Schizosaccharomyces pombe: one gene and its partners. Changing the gene in region 3 together with the main gene of any one other region gives a genetic interaction. Each region holds a gene or a part of one and is shown on either strand. Other genes may lie near its edges. The genes, in order: gpa2, tom70, sck2 and mph1.

Region 1 (6,242 bases), 2.5 Mb from region 3:
CTCCATTTGTAAACAACTTCAATGCTTTTTCTAGTTTTTCACTTTCCTGCATTTGAATGTTTTCTATGCTCATTACCCGAGCTAATTGAATAGACCCTTGAATAGCACGAAAATTGCAGTATGCTCTATAACAAAGATAAAAACCCGGAATATTTGGTATTAGAGGTATGAGAATGAAAGGTATAGTCAATGGTAATCCAATAATATTACCAATAAGGTAATTTGTATGGGTCTTTTGTAATTGTTTGGACCGATTCAACTCAGCTAAAATAGTACTTGATTCCAAATTTGGAGGATGTTCAATATACAAAGTTTGGTGTAATTCTGTATCATTTAGCTTCTTAACAGGAGCAATCGCCCTTAAAAAATTTTCTTCATAAGGAGTTGCATGCAAAATTCGGTTTCCCAAAGACACAACCTTTTGTTTGGTATAGCTTTTTGAAGCACTCCAGGAGTCCCAATACTTGTAAATTCTGTTTATAATTTTGTCGTGAATAGTAACTTTTTTGGCAAGGTATTCAGAAGGATAACAATGTAAGAATACCCTTTGATTTGGCAAAGGAAGTGCAATAATTCTCATAATTAGTTAACGAATGTACTTAATTGTTTTTACAAAATAAATATTGAAATAAATAAACCTGCAGTAACACAAAGATGGGTGGATATACTAAAGTAGAAGCTAAAAGTGGGTAACGAATATCTATGTAGTAGTATTACTATCTAATTTAATCAAATTGATACGTATACAGAACAGTGCGGCTTTTTATTATACATGGCAGAAATACACGTGTTCAATAGCTTTTTTGATTAGTAAATTAATATATTAAAGAAAAGATACTGAAAGTCGGTAAAAAGTATCAGTCTCTGGTGCCAACAAAGAGAGACAACAATTTTGATGATTCAGTGAAATAGTCTATACAAGTAGTCTAACAATTAAAAACTAAATACTAAAACAAAAGCGATTAAATCATGTATCCACTCAAAGTCTCTTAGTACTCAAACGGATTTTCTACGACCCTCATAAATAGCAGCATTAAGTGATAGCAATAGTTCTGAAAGCAGAGATAGATGTTCGAATCAAAACTGGAGATCTACTTTCTCAATCTTAAGACTATGTTCAACAGAAAGTATTCAATAACTTTAAAAGCATTCGCCAGCAGCATCGTTTAAAGTAAAAAATTAAATGCAAATTGATATTCGCAAAAATGACAAAATATTTATATCAACTAGAACTGTATAACTTGGTCATCTTAAAGAGATTATTTAATAGCAATCTGTGAACGTTCTGAGACAACTGAAAAGGAGATCGATCCTTTTCCTTACAGACAAATCGGTGATTTCAGATTCCAGCAGCCAATGTATATATTGGAAAAATATTTTTAAAGAACATGTGTAATAAACTCCGGACAATATTAAAAAAAAAAAATAAACGAATGTAAAAGAAGCGATTCTTACAAGGAGGCTTCAGAACTCTCTAGACATATGCAGACAGTAAGAGGTCTTCTGTTAACATATGAATAATGGTAGGGTAAATTTTATCTTCAAATTAAAATTAAAACATTCCCGCTTCTTTCAGACTGTGTTGTAGAATTGTTTCCTTAACGGCAGAAAAGACAACCTTTATGTTAGATGTGTCTACAGCGGTGGTAATGTGAGGATATATATTATGCTTAGCCCGATTTATAGAAGGGTTCACAAATAACCAAAGAATATACCGGGTAATACTTTTAACAGAATTTTTACCTTCATATTGGGGGAAGTAATCCTGGAACGGAACATGTTCCAGTTTCTTCCGAAACAAATCAAATTTGTTCAAAAACAGAATGATAGAAGAATGCATAAACCACTGACTGTTTATAATAGAGTCGAATAAAGAAATACTTTCAACCAAACGATTGCGTTCTGGGGCGGCTCTTTCATAAAGCTTTTTATCATAATCATTTAAGGAAACACAAAATATGATTGAATTCACATTTTCAAAACAATAAATCCATTTCCTTCGTTCGGTTCTTTGACCACCAACGTCGAACATTCGAATTTGCAAATGATCCAATGTGAACGATATTTCCGAAATACCCAGAGTACTATTTCTAGACCGGAGAATGTCATCTATTGTAGGGACATAATGCCGACTGCAAATTTCATCGGCTCGCGAAAAAAAGTAAGGGGCAGAGTCAATGAGTACGGAATCATTTCCATATGTACAGGATCTAACACTATTGGCTGACCAAAGACTAGTAATAGCTTGGCCAATATTAGCATTAATAAGCTCACCAGGAGTTGGATTAAATTTTTCGATTATCTCGCAATTGTGGGTTCCTAAAGGGTCCAAGTTGATACCTTTTTGAACGATAATTTTAACAAGGGTTTTAGCAGATTCCAACAGGTTTCGTCGGATCACCGGAATAAATGTCATAATCTCTTCTTGACTAAACCCATTTTTGTTGAGAATTTTGATTTGCTTACTGATGGTACTTTTTCCACTATCGGAGGCACCTAGAAAACAATGGTTAGACTGACGATTGTAAGAAACAAAGGAAGGAAAATTTGCTATAGGAATCAAACAAAAAATCTGTGCTATGCAATGGAGAGAAACGGTAAGAGTGTAGAGCAACTGATTACAACATGCAACGACGACGAAAAGTGGTTAACTAGAAGAACGTTATCAAAGTCACCTTCACTGACTGAGTATTGAAGGGAAAGGGTAACCAAGAGTAGAGAACGTAGACGCAATTAGACAAACCATTTTCTGTCATTTCTTAAACAGTTTCTCTGTTTCGTAAATAGTTTCACTCATTTCGTTTCTTTATTTTTTTTCTCAATCTTTTCTGCTTTTTTGCTCGACTGCCCAAGCATATATAACTATTGAACAACAACAACAACATTGAGTAGTTTACGTACCTAAAAGCAACACTTTGTAAATCTTTTTATCCTTCTTCGAGGCATTTTCAATCTGCTTTTCGATTTTGCTGTTCAATTTTTTTGATTCACCGCTTTCAGATAATCCATTAAAAATCGTCATTTTTTTTTAATCCACTACTGCAGAATATAAATACGGGGATGTAGTAGGACACCAAACTTCTCAATCCGACAGCTAGCGGGTTTTTGGGATAAGATGGGAGAAATAAATATGAAACAAAGTAAGAAGGTTAAACGCAGGTAGGTAAGGTGTAGCAGCAGAGAGGCGAGGACTTTCCAAGAAAAGCCTTCAATCCAGTTCTTTTCCCAATTAAAGCAAAGATTAAATAATAAAATGGAAAGAGAGCAAGTTAGAAAGAAAAGTGAAACGCAAATAAATAAAAGTATTAAAAAAAAAGTTGAGGTAGCAAGTATGATTAAGTAGGAACAAGGGTGCGGGTGTCAAAAGGGGATATTACAGAATAGGAATCAATAATCAAAATATTGATTAGTCAGTCACTAAACTATACGCGCAAAGTTTGATTAACCCCCTTTATGGGCGACCTTTAAATCGCAATTTCAACTTTTTTTTGAGTTTCACCAGATGCCTCGAAAAGCAGGGGGTGGAGGAGAATGAGGAAGGATCGCAGGTCGGAAGCTAGCCGGCTAGCTAATTGACACAGTGAGTACGAGTGAATACCAAGGTTGATTAAGGCAAGAAGAAAAGGCTGAAATCAGTTGAAGAGATGCAGCGACAAATGAGAAACTCGTGAAAATTGATTTCTCGTCGTCTTTCGATGAACGAGAAAAAAATTAAGAATTGTACAAGGAAGAAAGAAGAATTAGAGGCAAAATATCTCAATTCTTACTACTGTCCAACTAACCGAGTGTACAATTAAATCCTTACTTTCAATTCACACTACCCTAAATCCAACAAGCAGCAGCAAAAGGGCAAGCGTTTTGATGCTTCAAACAGCTTAAGTAGCTAACAACTATGGTTAGATTGGTACCTGAGCGGTGATTTCGTCTATACTATTTCGAAAAAGACAGACGGCAACTCTGGTATAATTTGTATTTATGAGGCACTACGTCATGCATCATCCATTTACGATTTTAATTTTTCGAGTGGGGTAGAGAGGACAGTTCGGAAAATGTAACATTGGAAAAGGATCCAACACATACCACCAAACAAGCATCATTCAAGTAAAGAAGATTGGAGTGTAAGTCTTACTCTTCGATTATGACCTTGGGCGAGGGGAGCAGGCAGTAAGCTGAGACCTGTGTGAGCTTTGCATTCTATGTAAGTATCGCATAGAGAAGCGCCGCTCATCAAAATAGTTTTTTATGTTTTATGTTTATATGTCATTAACTGGTTGGTCCAGCATTTCTATACTACTAAACTATACTGCTCTATTACTACTCTAGTAACTCAATGAGTCGTCCCTTGTTTATGGCTGAAGATGCAAGCAATCGGGATAGCAAAGATGACCAAAGGAAGTGTTCCAAAAAACGCGCAATCTTTCCAAGCAATGTTTAATGAGTGTTTTCCCAATCTGAGTTTGTTCACTTTCATAATATTTTAAATTTTCAAGCCCCAATTTTACCAAGTTCAATTCCAGTTACGGAGACTTATTTACTCAGATATGAAAGTAAAGTGCACAAGGGATAAGGCAACTAACTTGATCGCAAAGCGTGGGCAGCTATCACAAAGCTAGAAAGAAACATATAAAAAATCCATAGACGATTGGGTACCAAGATGAAGCAAAGCATGTTTTCGCAACTGACCAGTTTTACCTGACAGTCGGAAAATTTTTCAGCTGTATAAAAAAAAGAAGACATGGGGACTTGCAAACAATCTAGAAAAAAGGGATTTTTGCGTATCTAGAACAAATGTTAAACATGAAATGGGGTCTTGAAACTGAATACAGCGAACTAGACATGCTTTTCGCCCCTCCCCCGCTTGGTCCATGAAAACATTACTAAGTATACCCTGCTACCATAACTCCTCTCCTATTTCTCATTGCTCGATAAATAGCACAAAGCAGCTTGACACTACAAACTACATTTCAACGCAAAAAAAATAAGGAGGACTTTGTTAAACTGCTCATCGTTCCTAATTTCATTCGGTTCCTTAAATTTAATGGGTAAGAATGGTAAGATATCCTGATGCCGTTACTTGCTGGTTACTTAGTCTTGGAGGTTCGGGAAGGACTGCATTTGCCCCGCTAAAATAAAATAATCTTCAGGTGAGATAGAATTAGCTAGGTTTCGTAATGTTTATGTGGTACTGAAGTCAATCCGTTGTTGTTCGTTCATTTATTCATTACATACTAATAAAAGCATGTACTAGTTATAAAAAAAAGTCTTCCAAGATATTCACATGTAGTGGGAGGGTTTTTATATTGTTTTGTTTTTTGATGGTTTTTTTTTTTTTATAAAGATGAAATTCTTATTTGCGTAAGTTTAATTTTTGCTTGATTATAGGTATCCTTGACAATTATTGAATATGTATCTTATATCTCTTATATATGTGTATCTTATATATCTTGCATATCTTGATATATCCCGATATATTGTGGAAACTAGTTTGCCGGATCTGTTTCATGTTGGTTTTAGGGCAATAATTTGAATTATGAGCAAGATGCGCTTCCCAGTTTAAAATAAAACTATGTTAATTTAATTCAAAAAATTATTATAAGAAAATAATTGAATAAATCAATCATTAGCTAAGTCAATATTAGAAGACAACGGAAAAAATATAGAGTAATCTTGTTTTTTCCTAATTTTTTTCTTTTGCCAGTTGGTTGAGAATATGTCCAATATCTATATTTACAGTGTGCAAAAAAGTGGATCATGAACAACCGACTTTCTGATTTTCTAATCTATTGTGAAAACGATGAAAGAAACTGTTTTTCCAGCTACTGTTCTTTCGCTGTGGCTTTTATTTCTTTTCAAGAGTTTTAGCTTTCTTATTTTTTGTTGTAAGCGTATAACCCAATGCTTACTCTCGTCCATAACCGCGTAACCGTATAACCTTCGACTTGATGACTACTACTTCTTATAACGAAGCTGTTGGCTTATCCAAAGGCCGTACGAAAATAAATAAAAAATCATCTTATAATTCCAAAAATTAGAAAATCTTCAAAAATTTATGCTTTTACCTCATATGCTCTTCCCAATAGTCTTCTAATACTCATTTCAACAATGAAAATGCATGCAAAAGTAATGTTAAGGCAAAGTTAGGTAACAAACGTTGATACCTAGTCATACGCGTTTACACTATACCACCCATGTTAGAGACGCCCGTTGATGCTCTGCCAAAACAATGTAAATGGCCGTTGAAT
Region 2 (5,405 bases), 2.6 Mb from region 3:
TGTATAAATAGACTCATACTGTCCAATTTTTAAAATCAATATAAGTCTGAAAGTTGTGCTTGTTGCCAAAGGATGGAACAAGGCCTATTCTCTTCTTCGTAAAATCACCAGAACTTCACTTACCTTTCGATTTCTTTTTATTCATATGCTCATTATCTACAGTGCTTACCGTCCATCTAACTCTTCTGACTGGTTCCGGTTGTAAATGGAGCACATTCTCAGATTCTTCATGGCTTATTGACGCGGATTCCTCCGTACTTTCAATGGTAACTGTAGCTGATGAGGAGATATCACCTAACGGTCTTGTGAGTTCCATGGGAATTGTCAAGATTACGTTGAGTGATAAAACACGAAGTTCACTGTTTTATAAGTGAACCTTCAGTTTCGTTAACCAACTCTTCCTCTCAAGCAATTGCTTCAAGAAAAACAATTTTAGTGTAATTATTATAAAATTCCTCTGTTGTTTGAAAGACGATGGCGAAGAGTGGTGTGCACTTCAAGATGCTTGCTATTCTCTAATAGGATATTCTTCTATTCCTTTTTCTTCACTATATAAGATTGTGAGAAATCGTTACTGCGTTATATCTCCCTTAGGTTACATCTCCCTTGATGACGAAACCAAATATTGTTTTCCTAAAAACCTTCAGCTGCCTATTTCAACTTATTTGGTAAAGAGAATTAATAGACACCTACCATTTTATATTAAATTAGAGTCCTAAATTATGATAACATTCTGTAATGGTTGAATCTCAATGGGTATAATATTTCATTGCTATTGCTGTCGTTAATAAATACACTACCTACTAAACATGAAGTACAAAGAAATAATAAGTTCACATTTTAGGGAGTAGCGAACAAAATATCATTATTGCTAACCCTAAGAATCAAGTTAAAATCAAAAATCCGTCAACCAGAATACATTAGCAAACATGTTCCGTATACAAAACTTCGTTTGGTTTAAGGATTTTCAGCACTTGCTGTCATCCAAACAAAAAATTTCCGAGCCACATTAAAATTGGAACCTTTTTAAAGCATTCAAAATGTTTTCGCCAACTGCTTATTTTGACTAACAGTAATTCTCATATACAATCTCGTTTACATAGGATTGCTTAAACGACCAACCAACTGTGGGTACTTTTCAGTCAAGGCAATTTGCGTACGAGTAGCCTCAGCATATGAAAACGCATTCACCATTTCACTTTCAGTACGAGCCAGTTGTGCAGATTTCTCGAAATATTCAAGGGCTTCACGAGCTTTACCTTGTTGCAATAGGAATTGAGCCATACTGGCAATTGCAATATCACATTCGGGATCAGCCGATAGAGCCTGTCGACAAAGATTTTCAGCTTGAGATATATCTTTCTTCCATTGGAATACAGCAAGAGCCTTATTAATCAAAGGCATTGCACTCATAATTGTTAGATGTTCTCTCTTCTCAAGCTCAATTGCATGATCAAAGTTCTTGACAGCATCATCGAACTTTTGTTGATCTAAGAGTATTTCACCAAAGTAATTATAAACTTCGCTTGAATTAGGGAACCTCTTTTTACAATCTTCAAATGTCTTCATTGATTCCGCAATTGCATGAGTCTTATATTGAGCTACTCCAAGTTGGATATGGCTATAAATAAAAGAGTCATCCAATGCAATAGACTTTTGATAATCAGAAATGGCTTCTGCAAACTCACCAGAAACAAACCTAACTTGTGCACGATGATAATAAAGATCCGAATCGGTTTTATCAACAGATTCTGCATCATTCAGTACCTTCCACATTTTTTCATTATCATTTTCATCTAAATAAGCGGCTGAGAGACGAATATATGGTTGAATGAACTTGCGATCTAATTTAATAGCTGCATTAAAATTTTCCATCGAACCTTTAGAGTCACCAGATACAAATTTAAAAGTACCAACTAGATTATGAGTGCGAGCATTAACCGAAGGAGATGAGAAAGATCCCAGACAGGATTCCTTTGCTTTATCGTACGAAAGTTGATATTCACCCTTTTCTAAATATTCATAAGCCTCTGCTAAAGCAGCATCACCGTCAAATTTATTATCAAACAAAGGTTTTGGTTGAGCATGGAATGAATCGAGATAAGTCTGGATAAAGCTGGCAGCTGGCAATTTAGGAGGACGTTCCTTTAAAAGAGCAGACGACTTCTTTTCAGCAACCTTTTTTAACAATCGTTCAACGGTAGCAGTCATACTCTCATTAGCGAAGCCATCGAAAATGCAGGAAACGGTACTATCCATAAGGGCTTCATCCAATTTACCAAGTTGCTCATAAGCAGCAGAACGACGATTTAACGCTTTCACATAGCTTGAATCAAGTGAAAGAGCTTCACTTGTATCCTTAATTACTTGCTCAAAATCACCGATGGCTGCATAACAGGCTGCACGATTAGAGAAGAAAATAGGGTCATGAGAGCAGGTGATAGCCTGAGTATAATAGTCAATAGCATTAGCATATTCCTTTTGTCCATAAGCCTTATTACCAAGAGTCTTTAACTCGGCAGCCAATTTTGCCCTTTCCTCCTTCGTCATAGATTTTACCGATTCCTCAGTAGCAATTTTATCGACAGAAGAATCGCCGACCTTCTTGGCTTTAACCTTTTTTTTATTCTTCTTCTTCTTTTTTGCAGCAGCAGCAGCAGCGGCTGCTGTTTCAACATCCTTTCCAGTTTCTGAGCTTTTAAGATCCTCTTCTTTTACGACCTTTGCAGCTTCATTTTTTCCTTCATTAACTTTGGATTCAGCCTTATCTTGATGAGCCTTAAGTTTTTTAGAACGTTTATGACTAGCTTTTTTCTGTTGTACATGATAAACACCCCCAACTGTAGCAAAAACGGCAACAGCACCAATAGTGTAAACAAATGTCCTATGGCGCCTTACAAATGCTGAAACGGAATTTAAAACTCCAGAAGACACAATTGCCTTACCATTTTCTGCATTGGATATACCAGACATGGTATTGGTTTTGGCTAGGTTGGTACCGATTCATGACCACTATACTTCAGCAAAGTGAATGCTACCTTATTGCATTGCTAACGAACTGCAAAGCACATTCATTGACAAAGGTTAAGGAACTAAAACTTGATTACGAAGTGATAGAAAACAAAAAAAGAAACGGTGAACAGCAGTTTAATAGGAGCTATTATTATGAAATGGTGATAATTTGCACAGGTGCTAGTTTTATTAATTCTACTCAATTCCGCATCAAGTAGGAATTTAAAAAAAACTGCTCCAGCAGTGACTTGAACACTGGGCCTCTTGCTTACTAGGCAAGCGCTCTACCACTGAGCTACAAGAGCTGATGTTATCCCCGTATAAAATACAATATATAGAGAGCGTAGTAAAGAAGTTTACCTTAAACAATGAAACGTATTGACTGTATTTGTTAATTACACAATGCACTTCTTTTGGATTCTGATTATCTAGAGCCCTTTTATTTGTCTTTAAAAAGATTTGTTAACTTGATTGTAGGTTGAACTATGTTTTGAATACAATTGAAGAGTTGCGACCAAAATCTATTACAGTTGTTGCCTGTATCTTATAAGCTATCTATTATTTAAAGCATGGTTTCTTAAGTTGTAAATGACATTTGGAAATGACTATTCATGTTTTGAAGTTTAGCATCAACGTATGGTGTTTAGGTTGTCTAAAAATTTAGTTAAGAGGAAATTTGGCATCGCTGTCCCCTAAGGATGAATAAGCTATGCAAATCCATGTAAAGTAATGATGATATTCAGCTTTCATGTATTCCTCATTTCAATAGATCCAAACTTATTTGAAGCTGTTTTTTTATTTGTCTTTCTCGCCAGCTTCAATATTGAAGGTTCGATTTTTTTTGTACTTCTTCTTTCCTTACGTCCTCATGATATTCGTATATCAAAACGTTCCAGTCTTAGATTTAATGTTGGACGAATGCCTACGTAAAAATATAAAACGTTTATCGTTCGATAGTAACTAATTTGATTTTACCCGAAGATTAAGAACAAGAAATATATGATTCATTCAAACTTTTATATTTCCAAAATTTTTTTAACAGGATACCACAAACTCATGATGTATTATTTCATTTAAATCTCAAAAACCCACAAAATCTATTTCCAGGTTTTATTGAATGCATGATTTATTAAATATATATACCTCTTTAACATTCATTGAAAAAGTGTATATCCTATTAAGGAAGATCAGAAAGTATGTGTTTTTTTAAATACAACAGCAAAGTTCCGATTGACAAATTATATGTTAGCTTCTGTGACGCCGAAATTTACGTTTTTTTAATTTGTAAGAGGAATAATTCTGGCTTACTTGTTTTCCAATAACAAGCCCGTTTCTCATAATCTTTTTATTTTGTCGTTCACTCTGCAGATCTAAAAATGGTGACGAATCTTTGCTAGCAGTTGTATCTTCATTGTCGTCAATGCCATTTTCCGCATCTTCGTCTATTTCAGGAAGACCTTCTAAATGACTTTTGGAAAGATTCATTGAAGGGGGCACTAAAACGTTAGTTCAGGTACAAACAGGAGAAAACCTTACATTTAACAAGACGATTTTGTCGTTTAATTTTTTTCTTCATAGGTTGTGATATGTCTCTATCTACAAGGCTTTCTGAAGATGAGCTACTAAAGCTTTCAAACTCCTGCAATATCTTCTCTTCATTTGATCCGTAATCATCTTCAATATCTTTTAACTCACGAAGCATTTCACTGAGACTTTTTCGGCATGGCGCATTAACTCGAAGTAAGTTAGGAGATGTATAAACTTGAAGGCGATATGAAGAGGGGGTTTCAAGAACGGTGGGAGTATGTTGAGCCACAGGTTCGGGATTTTTTGATGGAGTAGTCGGTATCATAGTTGATGAAATTTCACTAGTGTTATGTTTTATATCCGAAATTTGATCCACATGAGAATCTGCAATGGGAGACATGTCTTCAAGAAGGTTAAGTACTCGACGTGACAACTGTGGAGTAGGACCTAAAAGACTTTTATCCACAGTTTTCGGAGTAACCTGTAGATAATCATTTCGGGGCGCTTTAGGACTCTCGTTCGCTTCAGTTTCAGCACGCTGTTTTGTAGGAGTTTGAAACTTAAAGTCGACCTTTGTTTTTGCTTTTTTAGGGGTAATGGAGGATTCGCGTTTCAACTCGTAGTATTGCTTATATAAAAGCGCTAAAAAAGTTCGTTAGTTTGCTTCAAAAATTCAAGTGTATCTTTGGCTTACATACCTATTTCTGGTTGTTTCTTCACATCCTCCTTAGAAGGTTTGCAATTGTTCGTATGGACGTACTCATGTTCCCACTTCTTTAAGAGCGCTTTTATACTAGATATTTGTTTAGTTCGTGATTCATCGTGCATGATTTGCCAATTAATGCACTGCCTGGACCCAATTTCAA
Region 3 (6,621 bases):
CGTTATTTAATGAAATACCATCTCGGTGAAGTTTCGAGTGAATGGTCTCGGACGCAATCTTAGGAACCTATTAATAATAAATTTTATCTTCAATTTTTGTTAACTCATATCGCTTCTTTATCAAAGGCGTGTCTACGCCAAAAAAAATAAATACATAATATTACCGAGGTTAATTGCTTTTAAAAACACAATCCCTCTATGCATATGCAGTTTACTGGATTGCAATAGGATACATAGACGCACGATCTTAAAAGGTATTTTACAGTATTCACGATATTTGAGCTTTTGAAAAAACGATCCCGCCAGGAGTCGAACCTGGAATCTCTTGATCCGTAGTCAAGCGCCTTAACCATTGGGCCACGAGACCTTGTTATCATTACAAATAAAATATACTATTTATTATACAAGTGTGTTTTACTTAGTCAAATTGAATAAGTCTAGTATTACAAAACAAGAAGAGTCTTTAGTTTTCAAGTGATTTTTGAGAAAATGTAATTGTTTTTTTTTTTTTCCTTTTTTTATTAAATTTTATCTATTTTTCGTACTTACCGATATTTTTTACTTCGTTTTAAATTTTTTAGTTTAGTTATTTACCTTTTCTCCATCAAGACCATACATGATAACAATATTATGTGTACCATAAGTTAAAGAATATTTATTATAATTACTTTTTTTAATAAAATGAATGTACAGGTTATTTTTTTACATATTTAGTTTTTATAAACATTATATCGAATATTTGTGGCAAAGACCCACAAGACAAATGAATGAAGAGAATCACAAGTAAAATAAAAATCGATAAACTGGTTTCCAAAACCATAGTTAAAAAATTTTTATGTCATTATCGTTATATCTAAAACAAATTATCGTATACGACAGTATCCAAATACATCTTCATCTGAAGATCTATTACAAAACGACCCTCAAGGAGGGCATCAATAATACTGCTATTGTACTTTGTCTTTTCTTTTTTTTAAATTCCTTTGCGTTTAAAAGAATATGTCTTTAACTAGATTCTAACATACACCATTATACATTCGTAAAACTGAACTTCAACCTAACTGAATAAACGTCTATCCAGCAAAAGAGAAAAATAAAAAAAAAATAAGGAGAGGAACAAAATCGAAGACATTACAATTGGAGATAGAATAGCCTTAAGCAAGATGACAATTACTTAGTAAAGCAAAATACCTTACTACTAATGTCAGCCAATTCAACGAATTTTGGAATTGTGTAATTACCACTGTACACAATTAAGTCATAGTTCGGAACCAAAAAAACTAAGCACAATTTGTTCCAAAATTAGTTGATTCAACGCCATACAAGCCCAACATTACACCAAAAAAGCCTGGTGAACGTAGATTAAAATATAGAAATAATAGATCCTTTGATCATTAAGTATTCCCTTAATATGCACCGAAAAAAAATGAACTTCACCCGAACCTGCTTCCACATAAACAGGCATCTTAATAACAATCCTAAAAAATCATTCTTAGAAGGGAAATAAAAAAAAATTAAAACGATACGCTTCAATGATTAAGCGCTGATTAAATTAAAACATTATTTACCTGTCCTTCAAAATACATGTTGAAATTTTGCTGGACAACTAGTAAATAAGAAAATAGTACAACGATTGAAAGCGTGTACAAAAAGATACTCTCGGGTTCAGGGATCCAGCCTAGAAAAAATATGGGCATAAGATTCTCAATGCAGTGATACATTCGTGGAGACCAAACGTATTATGGATCTATTTGTCCCATAAATACCTCATCGTTCGCACGATTTAAGTCCATATCGGAATTGTCCTTAGAATAATCATCTTGACTGGAAATACTAGAAGCAGAATCATTTGAGTTGTGGTATCCGAATGCTTCATCCATAGCACTTGCGTCAATATAGGTAAAACCCTTAAACCCATTTTGGACAGTTGATGATAAAGGTGCAGAGGTCGACATTTCATCTGTGCTACTAAAGTCTCTATCGATTGCTTTATTTGTAAACTCGACATCAAAATTAGAAACATCTATTTCACCTTCCACTATTGGTTTAAATGGTGGACTAATTTCTTTCGCAGCGAGTTTCTTCCAATCAATTCCATCAAAAAATGGATGCTTCATTACCTCTTCAACATCCCCATGTGCACCAAGCCTATGCTTTGGATTACGATTCAATAATAGCTTAATCAAATCTCTGGCTTCTACAGATAGCAACCCTCTAGGAAAACGGACTTTACCAAACACGATATTCTTGTAAAGTTGTTGTGTGTTATCAGCGTAGAAAGGGCTCCAGCCACATGTCATCTCGTACAAAAGTACCCCTAAAGACCAGAAGTCAACCATCATATCATACCCTGCTTCGTCTAAAATAACCTCAGGAGCTAGATAATCCGTGGTACCGCAAAACGTACGTGTAGTAGTCCCCACTGAAAGATTGGCCTTTGACAAACCGAAATCACATAAGGCAATATGTCCTTGAACGTCCAAAAGAATGTTTTCAGGTTTCAAATCCCGATATACAATTCCTCGTTTATGCAACGCTTGCAAAGCAAGCAACAATTCGGCAATATAGAATTTTGCCCTTTCTTCTGGAAATCGTACCGATTTTTGAAGGTGCCAAAATAATTCGCCTCCAGCCATATAATCTGTCACCAAATATAAATCTTTGGGGGTCTGAAAAGAGAAACGTAAAGCAACGATGAAGGGCGAATCAGCTGCAGAAGTTTGGACGAGAATGTCTCTTTCCCCAACAGTGTGTGCAACTTCTTTGCGACGGACTATTACTTTTTTGGAAAGTACTTTCATTGCGTATACGCGCTCGGTGTCTTTTTTACGAACAAGATAGACTTGACCAAATGTACCTTTTCCAATTAATTTCAACGGAACGAAGTCATCAGGGCCGTAGGAGTGTTGACTGAGAGGCTGGAAAACAGTATTGAGAGAAAGACGAAGATCAACCATACGGTTGTATGCGGGAGAAACTTCAACGCTGTTGCAAAACTGTTCAAATTGACCATAATTATAAGACGGGTGAATGTAAGTTCTCCCAACAAATTCATTATTATTACCATGGTCATAAATATTAACATCGATGGGGACCGGTTTAGCAACATCAAATACAACATAAGATGGAGTTAAGGGATTTGGAATTGAAGACGTACGTTGAATTGCAGGAGTAGGAATGGGATGAGAGCTCATCATAGATGAACTCCTACTCACATTAGCAGAATCCCGACTAGATGTGCCTATATCACGGCCAGGTGATTCCCATTTCAATGGAGGTGAAACAAACTCCGTCGTACCAAATTGAACAACAACAAACAACTGATTAAGTCTTGAGCATTCCATGGCTAATGCTGCATCAGTATGAGGTCCTCCCAAAACTAATGAACCTATTTGAAGTTTCAAATAGCCTGAAGGTTCATGGTCAACTTCAGGTAATATATCATTACTATTTCTGTTACCAACCGTAGACTGGTCACTGGCGAATTCTTCCATGGGATGGTCTATCGAGGAAGGACCTAAATTTGAAACTGAAGGAAGTGAACCACCTTCACCTTCCTCAACTGGTTGATTGGTTTGGATGCTTGCCAAAGGACTTCGGGGAAGTGACCCTTTAGCAGAATTGGTGGAAACCGATTTTTTAGACAGCCCGAACCAATTTTTTGCCCACTTATTCATCATTTTATAATCACTCAAAAAACCAATTTATGTACGATTATTGTAAAAGAAAATACGAACACAAAATGTCACTGTTGGATTAATTGCTTGTAGATGCAAAAAGGGATTTTCTTTCTTTCAAGCAAGAAGAGGTATGAAAATGAATTCAAAAGGTACTTGTTTGACTGATATAATCACGACTTAATACCTGCATAAAATTTAATGATGTAAAGTCTCAAGTAATAATTCACCTCAGTTGGATATAATCCTGATAAGAAAAACTATTAATCAACACTAAAATTTTCCTACCAAATTTCTTTGTTATATCACGAATACTGTAATCAATATGAAGATACCCCATTAACCAATGTCAACTACAATATTGTGCAAAGAAACAACCCCTAGTAGAAGAAGGAACAAAGGATTATAACACAAAATTATAAATGAAAAGAAAAAAATTCCAAGTTCTAATATACAATTACTGTTTGCGCCTAATTTTTCAATTTGATGGTAAAGGGTAAATTGAAGTGGGTTGCAGTACCTAATCTTACTTTAAAATTTGGTATGTCAATATACGGAAGTGCGAAAGGATTCTTTAACCCGGATTTAACTACGCCAAATTGTTTGCTAACTTAGAAATGCAGTTAATTTAGACAGTATGCTTTAATAGTATATTATAATTGCAAGGGTTTCTAGTGGGTATGATAAATCATATAGATCACATAAAATATTTTTAATGCATTAATATAGCTAATCTAGCTAACAAAAAAATTACCAAATTTACGAACCATGGTGAATGTGGTGATTTTAATACAATATTGAAAGTTAAAAAAGCCAACCAGCAGTATGGTTCAAGTGTGGAAGCTCCGTAGCTGTATTCGAAAAAAATGAAAAGAGAAAACGAATAGCCACTTACTAGTAAATTCCGTTCGTAATATTTTGAAACAGATCATAAAGTCTCGTCCAAACACTACAATTTGCCTTTTGAATCAACAAATCCACAAAGTCATCACATTCTTTGTCACCAAGCTGTAGTTGAAAACGTTGCAAAAGTTGTGCACTTGTGTTTTCACCAGCACGAAAGCAAGGCATTGTGGAATTATTTTGCATAACTTCAACAAGCAAAATGATCTGATCAGCGTTTTTTCGAACAGATTTAAACGCAGCTTTCATCAAGGAACGATATTCATCAAACCGGTCGTCAAGGATTTCTAAATAATCCGCCGTAAGCTTAAATGGAGCGCTTTCAAAGCCAACATTCCCCGGTGTATTCGTAAGTAAAAAGCCAAAATCAATATGTATAATATGACCTTCACTATCAATAAGAACGTTACCATTATGTCTATCCTTTAACTGTAGTAAGTATGATATAATGCTATATGCCACTAATGATTGAAGGAAATTTGTCTGTGCCTGTCGATACCGGCTGCTGTTGGGATCACCAAACTGCTTTATAAAATAATCCTTCAATGTAACAACATTTTTACCAGCAATTTTTCCTTGGGCTAGTTCAGCTTCCCGAAGCTGTTTCGTCAAATTCTTTTTAATAGAGTGAACACTAATGGCATTTGTAATCGTTTCTATTAAGCCACTATTGTCGCCGGTCACTAAAATTTTCATCCTTCGAACCCAAACCTTTTCTTTACACTCTAGCCAAACACGCTGAAACGCGTATATAAGTTGACAGGCAAATGTCTCTTGCCGGAGATCCGCACCCGTTTTAACAATCACACTGACCAAATCCCAATTGGGATAATGACCATAAGGAGAAGACTTTCTTATCCTTTCCTTCTTGGCATACCAATCTTCTTGGAATGTAGCGGCACTGGGATCATCTCTATCACCTTTCCGTTCTGCCTTTTGAGTTTCTTTGCCAAATCGCAGATCTTCTGCGCATGATATGTCGACTGAAACAGGATAAATGGATGGTTCATTAAGGCGCTCTTCTTCGAGTCTTTGCATGTCAAGAATAATGCTATTTTTTATTCGTTCAGTCTCAGCTTTGGGACGTCTGCTACCTTCAGCATCAAGCTGACTTAGCATAGTTGCCGCAGCTCGCATTCTCGCTGTTATTTCTGAAGCATAGATTTTACTTCTTTTTAAGGCGCCATTTCCATCAGAATCAGAGTGGCGCCCAGATAACAGGACGACATCGGTATCTCTATGAGAGGACGGTACCTGCAAAGATACATTACCAAACGAAGAGAATGACTTACTCAAAGAAAGAGTGTCCGGTACCAACCCTTTTATCAGAGGAGACATACTTAAATCCCCTCCCTCACTTTCCGACTCTGAAATATCATTGTCGGTACTGTCTTGAAGGTTCGTATAAGGATCGACATCTGTGAGGTCAAACCACCTTTTTCTTTGGTTTTTATGAGAGACAATCTTTTGCACCTTAGCCTTATTTTTCTTCGATTGTGGCTCGAAGCTGAGTTCACCAGATAGGACCTCAACCATAATAAGATAAGGTACTCGTTCGGCAGAATTGAGTATGGTAGCCTCTTTAGGATCAATGCGAACGATTTTATGACTCACTTCTTTATGATATGATCGTAAAAGCGGTATGTTCACATCGGCTGGAAGGTTGTTATTTAAAAGAGCAAGTTCGGCGCGTAATGAAGAAAGGCGAGCTTGTCTAGGTACAATGATGAGACGGATAGATATATCTTGTAAAGCAAAAAGAAATTGAATTTCTTGTTGAAAATAATTAGAGCGTAGAACACGACGCTGTTCGTCAATAGATAATGTAGCTGATGATTGATATGAATGGGTGCGGGTTAGTTCTGGAGCTTTTAGTCTAAGGGATACTTCGGAATGTTGCTCGACAATAGAGTTGTTCAAAGACGAACGTAATACGTCCAGAGAATATCGAGGTTCGGTGGAAAGACGGCGTAAAACATCAACATCTGATTCATCTGGATCTTGCCTAGGGGCTTTACGGCCTTGAGCAATTGCAATGGGG
Region 4 (5,954 bases), on a different chromosome or scaffold from region 3:
CCAAGCGAACAGTCATTTTATAAGTCTTCAATACGGTTCGACTATCAGGCTCAAAGATTCGAGAATGACATTCCGAGATAAAGAGTTGACTAAAATGAAAAGCTAACGCTACGGGATACTCAAATTGCAAAGATTAGTTCGGTTTGAGTCTTTGCAATTATACTTCACAGACTCTTTGCCAATAAACTAATAGCACTAAGGTCATCAAGCAATATAGAAGAACTGTCAAAACATTTTGAGAAATGAATCTCTTTCGAACGAACATATTGCACGAATCAGCAGTGTCAGTCGTCTGAATATTTAGCGATACAACAACTTTGTCTGTTCAATCTCATGTGCCTGTATAGTCCCTTAAGCTTTTTTTTGTAGTAAAAAAAACTAAACTATTCTTTCTGTTTAATTCAGAAGCTCTCCAATGTCAAGAAACCCAATGCGCCTTTAAGTGTGAATAGCTACAGCAATCAGCAAGTCAAAGCAAAACGCATTCTTGTCTTTAAAAGAATTTATTTTAATCAATATAACAGTTGAGTTTGGGAATAATTCTAGAGAATGAAGATGTTGTTAGCAATCCTCTTTTCCTAAAACACCCTAACCTACTCCATTTCGTTGAAAAAATAAACCACTTCCCCAATTCTATGATTTTGGGATTTTTTTTGGGACTATATTAGAGAATTTCTTGTTTTATATATATCAACAGGAGCTCATTAACGTCAACACTTGAAAACAAAAAGTATTTGTCAATTATAATTATCACGAGGTTCATTATTGATTTTTCCCGAATAAGATTATCTCCAACCAAGAAAACGGAATCTTTGAATCTAAAAAAACACATTCTTTACGTTTCTTAACATTCCTCGGCATAAATTGTTCTCTTTTGAAAAAATCGTTAGCAAAAGAGTTGCTGAATCGCAAACAAGCTACGAAAATTGCATTATCTTAAAAGAAATTGTGTAAATAACAATTTATAAAGTATTTCGGGACTTTATGAGGCCGACACATTGGTCGAGTAATCAGTGCGAAGTGGATTTTACAGCTGAAGCTCTCACAACCCTTTCTTTGTCAAACCGGAATCATGAGGAAGATCCAATTCAACCTGTGTTAAAAAATTCCAATTTATTTCTCTTGAACAGAGACATATGGTCCTTGATCATTAATTATCTTGATGCATTCGATATATTACGCCTGATGCATTCAAGTAGGCAGTTTTACTATTGGCTTCGTAAATCAGCTGTCGATGAATGCTGTTTTAATAACAATTTTCTTAATTTACAACCTTATCAACGTACAGTTCCTGTTGCCAGTGATTTAGAATGGGCTACTGAAGTTGATCTCTACGGAAACCCACCAATTTTAAAACTCCAACTTCGCGATTCATTTGTCTGGTCAATGCTTGCCAAATTCCAGGGACTTCAGACCATTGCTTTAGACGGAACAGGTGTTACCATTTCTAGTGTAACGAATATCTTGCTGAACATTCCTACCGTTAAAACCTTGAGTATAAGATGGTGTGTTGGTGTTTGCTCTCTATCTCTCATTGAGTTTCTACAAAATTCTAAAAGCAGGACATTTTCATTGGAAAATCTATACGTCCTTGGTGTTAAAGGATTAGAATTACTAAAACCTGTTTTGCTTGATGGCTCTGAGGATGACACATTAACAAGCAATTGGCATAGTCGAGTAATTTTATTTCAAAATGCTTTAGACGCTTTACCAACTACTCATGGTAACCCAGTCGAATGCGATATTTCACGTTGCCCTTTGAATGCATGCAAAATTGCAGGTCAGGAAACTGAGCTTGCCGATCTTTTTTCTTTGCAAAAAGTCCCTGCTTGTATCTATTGCTTAAGGGAATGGAAGAAGCCGATTTGTCGTTATTGCATAGATTTAAGAAGTTGTTTGGTTTGCGATTCATTTGTCTGTCCTTCCTGCATATCGTTGGATTTTGATTTGCAAATACAAGCATTTGCTCGTCAACACCGTGTAATATCTACTTTAGGTGTTGTTTATCCTGAAAGAGAAGACTCTTGTTTCCATAAGATCAAGGCCGCCCAATGGCATCAGATCAGTCCTAGAAGTCTTTTGTTCCAATTCCAAGAGCAGAACCATATTCACCACAAAAAGATTCGCAGGAAGCTGTTAGCGGCTGGATGGAAATGGCCTCAATCACAGATATAGTAAGGGCAAGGCGACCTAGGTGAAAAAACTTTTTACTTTCACAACTCTTCTTTTTCTTTCATGACTAGTCTAATAATGATCTTATGCCATTCTTACTCAGAATTTTCGTTTTCATAACCATGCGAAACTCGTAAAATAATGATATACACTGAAGTAGCTAGCATTGCGTTAGAGGGTGATCTTTGTAGTAACATAACATTTTGAAATGTGCACACTAATGGTTGCTCTGCTGTTCGTCTTTTCTAGCTATTCTTATAACGAAGTAAAAATTTATTGATTAACGCTTAACAAACAGTTGGAAATTCGGTTTGGAATGCTCGTTTTTTAGTAACTGTGTTTATGTCTAAGCGCAATCCTCCTGTGACTAATATCGCGGACTTGGTGTCAGATTCTTCCTTAGATGAAGACTCGCTTTCTTTTCTCGAAGAGCTTCAGGATCCAGAATTATACTTCAAAAATGACACTTTCTCTTCCAAGAGTAGCCATTCTGATGGCACCGTTACTGGGGATACGTTGCGTAGGCAGTCAAGCGGTGCAACTGCTTTAGAGAGATTGGTCTCACATCCTCGTACTAAAAATTTTGATTTGCAAGGAAATGGAGGACAAAATTCTGCTTTGAAGGAAGTGAATACTCCAGCATATCAGTCAATGCACCATTTCGAGCATTTAATAACACCCTTGCCCTCTACTAATGCGTCTCACAGTGAAGTTTCACTCAGTGCAGGAGTGAATGATCTCAATTCTAATTCGGAGCATGATTTGTTACCTAAAAGTGTAAACAAAACCCCCGGTTCTTTATCAATTTCAAGACGACGAAGAATCGGCAGAATTGGATTAGGCCCTCCAAAGCGTGCTGAGTACACGTTGACGGATCCCTCGAAGACTTCCGATACCAAAAACTCTACAGAAGCAGATGAGGATATTGAAATGAAATCTCGAGAAGTATCACCAGCTTCCAACTCTGTTGCTGCAACAACTTTAAAACCTCTGCAGCTGCATAACACTCCTTTGCAAACATCCCAGGAGCATCCCAAACCTTCTTTTCATCCTTCTCAGTTTGAGAGCTCTTTTTCTCCTAGGGTGCAGTTTGATCACGATGTTGAAAGAAGAGCTAGTGAACTTCATTCTCGTCCAGTCACCGTTTTCCAAGAGCCTCAGCGTTCTGCTTCTCAACCATATGAATCTCATGCTCTTTCTCCAAAGGTGGCTCCGTTATTTGATAACAGTCAAGCTACTCCCATACCCAAGCGTCAGCAGGACGTTGTTACTGTTGCCAATCTACAATTTATCAAATTAGGAGTTGTTGGAAAGGGTGGAAGTAGTATGGTATATCGCATATTTTCCCCCGATAACAGTCGTTTATACGCTTTGAAAGAGGTGAACTTTATTAATGCAGACCAAACTACTATACAAGGATACAAGAACGAAATTGCATTATTAAGAAAGCTTTCAGGCAATGATCGCATAATTAAATTATATGCTGCCGAAGTTAATGATACTTTAGGGCAACTCAATATGGTGATGGAATGCGGAGAAACGGATTTAGCAAACCTTTTAATGAAAAACATGAAGAAACCCATTAATCTTAATTTCATCAGAATGTATTGGGAGCAAATGCTAGAGGCGGTCCAGGTAGTTCATGATCAAAATATAGTGCATTCGGATTTGAAGCCGGCCAATTTCCTGCTTGTAGAAGGGAATTTGAAGCTGATTGATTTTGGCATTGCCAAAGCAATTGGTAATGACACCACTAATATCCATCGTGATTCCCACATCGGTACTATTAATTATATGGCACCTGAAGCTTTGACAGACATGAATGCTCACACAAACTCTGGCGTGAAACTCGTAAAGTTGGGCAGGCCCAGCGACGTGTGGAGTTTGGGATGTATATTATATCAGATGGTGTATGGGAGGGCCCCGTTTGCTCATCTAAAAATGATCCAAGCTATAGCAGCTATCCCTAATGAACAATATCACATTCATTTCCCCGAAGTTGCCTTACCTGCTAATGCTGTCCAGGAGAAAGAGGGATCGTTGCCAGGTGTAACTGTCGGGCCTGATCTAATGGATGTTATGAAAAGATGCCTGGAAAGGGATCAACGGAAGAGACTTACAATACCGGAATTGCTGGTTCATCCCTTTTTAAACCCTTTGCCATCCTATTTGACACCTTTGGCCAAAAAGCCGTTACCTGTTTCTGGGCACACCAATAATGCTCATCCACTTAGACTCAGCACAGAAATCTCAGCTTCTCAATTATCAATGATTATAGAAAGGTCGGTGGAGTTGAGTAAGCACAAGCGATTAAATAAGGAACTTATTGATAGCATGGCTTATGATTGCGTTAGCAATTTACGAAAAATGCCAGAATAGAGGCACTAAATTTTCCGATTATTCTTAAAAAGGTTTTATCTTTTACAAAGTTTCCCAAACATCATACGAGTTTCTTAATGTTAACGACTTTTTTAGGGAGCTTAAAGGCTTTTTTTTTTTAATCTTTAATTTTTCGCTCTTTTAAAAGAAGGTAATTATGACCTTGATTAATGAACCACATATTATATGGCCCCTGATATCTATACTTTGATACTATGTAAATATAAAGAACGCTATACTCCCAAACGCTATAAGTTGTTTGTTTACGATATAATACCTTTTTGTGTTTGTTTTTTTTAGGTAAAGCAACCAAATGAATGATGCTTTTTTATAAGAAACTTTTTTAATATAATTGGGTTATATTAGACATTAAAAAAAAACCCCATAACTAATGTAAAACAAAAACCTTTAAAAATAATGTACCGCCGGTAGAGATGATTATTAACGCCATAAATGTTGGTGCAGGAAGGGAATAAAACAGGTTCAATGGAATATCGATAATCCTAAAAAAACTTGTGAAAAAATCTAAGTTAAATCTAATCACTATCCAAAAATTTATTGGCAGAAGCACCCAGATACAGGCGTAGAGTGTTAGGGGAGCAATTTACCAATTTGCAGCGAACCTTTTTGCGCCCTGCTTCATCGTGAGCACGTAGTCGATGACAGCCCCCAAAGGCAAAATAATAAGGCTTCCCACTCTTTTTAAACGTTAAAACATCAACAGGAGGAAGCTCACCAGCTTCCAAATCTTCTGAAGTCAAACCGCATGAAGCTGGAGGAGTTTTCCCTGTCATGGTTTCCATCATACTATTGACTTTGTTCATATCTAAAACAGGAGGTATAGGACGAATTAACTCAGACATATCAAGCTCAACAATGTTGTTATTTGAGCCAGTGTGAATCGAAGTCATGATGGTTAAAAATGAATGAAAGAAAGAATATAAAAAAGATAAAGTGAACAGAAATTTTTATAAATAGAACAGAAAATTATAAAAAAAGGCAAGTTAATAAGAATGGAAAAGTGGATATTGATATCGAGTATATTTACTCCTTGATCTGATATCGTTTCCTGTTGTACTAATGATCTGCCCCACAACCTATCTTATCCCGGTATGTATATAATAATTTACAAATATGACATCATTATCAAAGATGAATCGATACTTAAAATCTTATGTAAAAATTTGTCAGCATGTTAGCGAAACACGTTAAACCGACTAGGACAAAGCAACGTGGTTACGTTACGAGGTCTGGGTTTGTGTTCTTAGTAAGGTAGTTGGAGTAGCTTATTCATTAAATGTAGATGGCAATAAAACACTATTGCAAAGATGTCAAAGTGTAGAATGATGCTACCTAAATAGAATTTCAAGCACAAATACTTAGGTATAAATAACTTGGAGTCG

Evidence for each region.
Region 1: mutations in sck2 (region 3) and gpa2 together harm fitness more than expected from each alone (negative genetic interaction), as found in Schizosaccharomyces pombe (2 studies listed by BioGRID).
Region 2: mutations in sck2 (region 3) and tom70 together harm fitness less than expected from each alone (positive genetic interaction), as found in Schizosaccharomyces pombe (2 studies listed by BioGRID).
Region 4: mutations in sck2 (region 3) and mph1 together harm fitness more than expected from each alone (negative genetic interaction), as found in Schizosaccharomyces pombe (2 studies listed by BioGRID).

Annotation. Positions count from the first base shown.
Region 1 is NC_003424.3:2,515,294-2,521,535, forward strand, and holds gpa2 (heterotrimeric G protein alpha-2 subunit Gpa2), read right to left. Parts: upstream 3,947-6,242; 5' UTR 3,023-3,946; coding exon 2,902-3,022; intron 2,739-2,901; exon of another isoform or gene 2,497-2,738; coding exon 1,553-2,496; 3' UTR 760-1,552; downstream 1-759. Other genes in the region: SPOM_SPAC23H3.12C (hydrogen/potassium transport protein), read right to left, coding at 1-580. UniProt on the Schizosaccharomyces pombe protein: Alpha subunit of the heterotrimeric guanine nucleotide-binding protein (G protein) involved in glucose-induced cAMP signaling.
Region 2 is NC_003424.3:2,430,960-2,436,364, reverse strand, and holds tom70 (TOM complex subunit Tom70), read right to left. Parts: upstream 2,986-5,405; 5' UTR 2,974-2,985; coding exon 1,096-2,973; 3' UTR 742-1,095; downstream 1-741. Other genes in the region: SPOM_SPAC6B12.13 (protein phosphatase inhibitor), read right to left, coding at 124-316; drc1 (DNA replication preinitiation complex assembly protein), read right to left, coding at 4,258-4,508, 4,549-5,181, 5,238-5,367.
Region 3 is NC_003424.3:5,044,838-5,051,458, forward strand, and holds sck2 (serine/threonine protein kinase S6K family Sck2), read right to left. Parts: upstream 4,176-6,621; 5' UTR 3,681-4,175; coding exon 1,740-3,680; 3' UTR 779-1,739; downstream 1-778. Other genes in the region: Golgi-specific 1-phosphatidylinositol 4-kinase, type III-beta Pik1, read right to left, coding at 4,572-6,621. UniProt on the Schizosaccharomyces pombe protein: Protein kinase that is part of growth control pathway which is at least partially redundant with the cAMP pathway.
Region 4 is NC_003423.3:371,375-377,328, forward strand, and holds mph1 (dual-specificity protein kinase Mph1), read left to right. Parts: upstream 1-2,419; 5' UTR 2,420-2,514; coding exon 2,515-4,551; 3' UTR 4,552-4,918; downstream 4,919-5,954. Other genes in the region: F-box protein Pof13, read left to right, coding at 985-2,175; srx1 (sulfiredoxin), read right to left, coding at 5,088-5,462. UniProt on the Schizosaccharomyces pombe protein: Involved in mitotic spindle assembly checkpoint signaling, a process that delays anaphase until chromosomes are bioriented on the spindle, and in the repair of incorrect mitotic kinetochore-spindle microtubule attachments.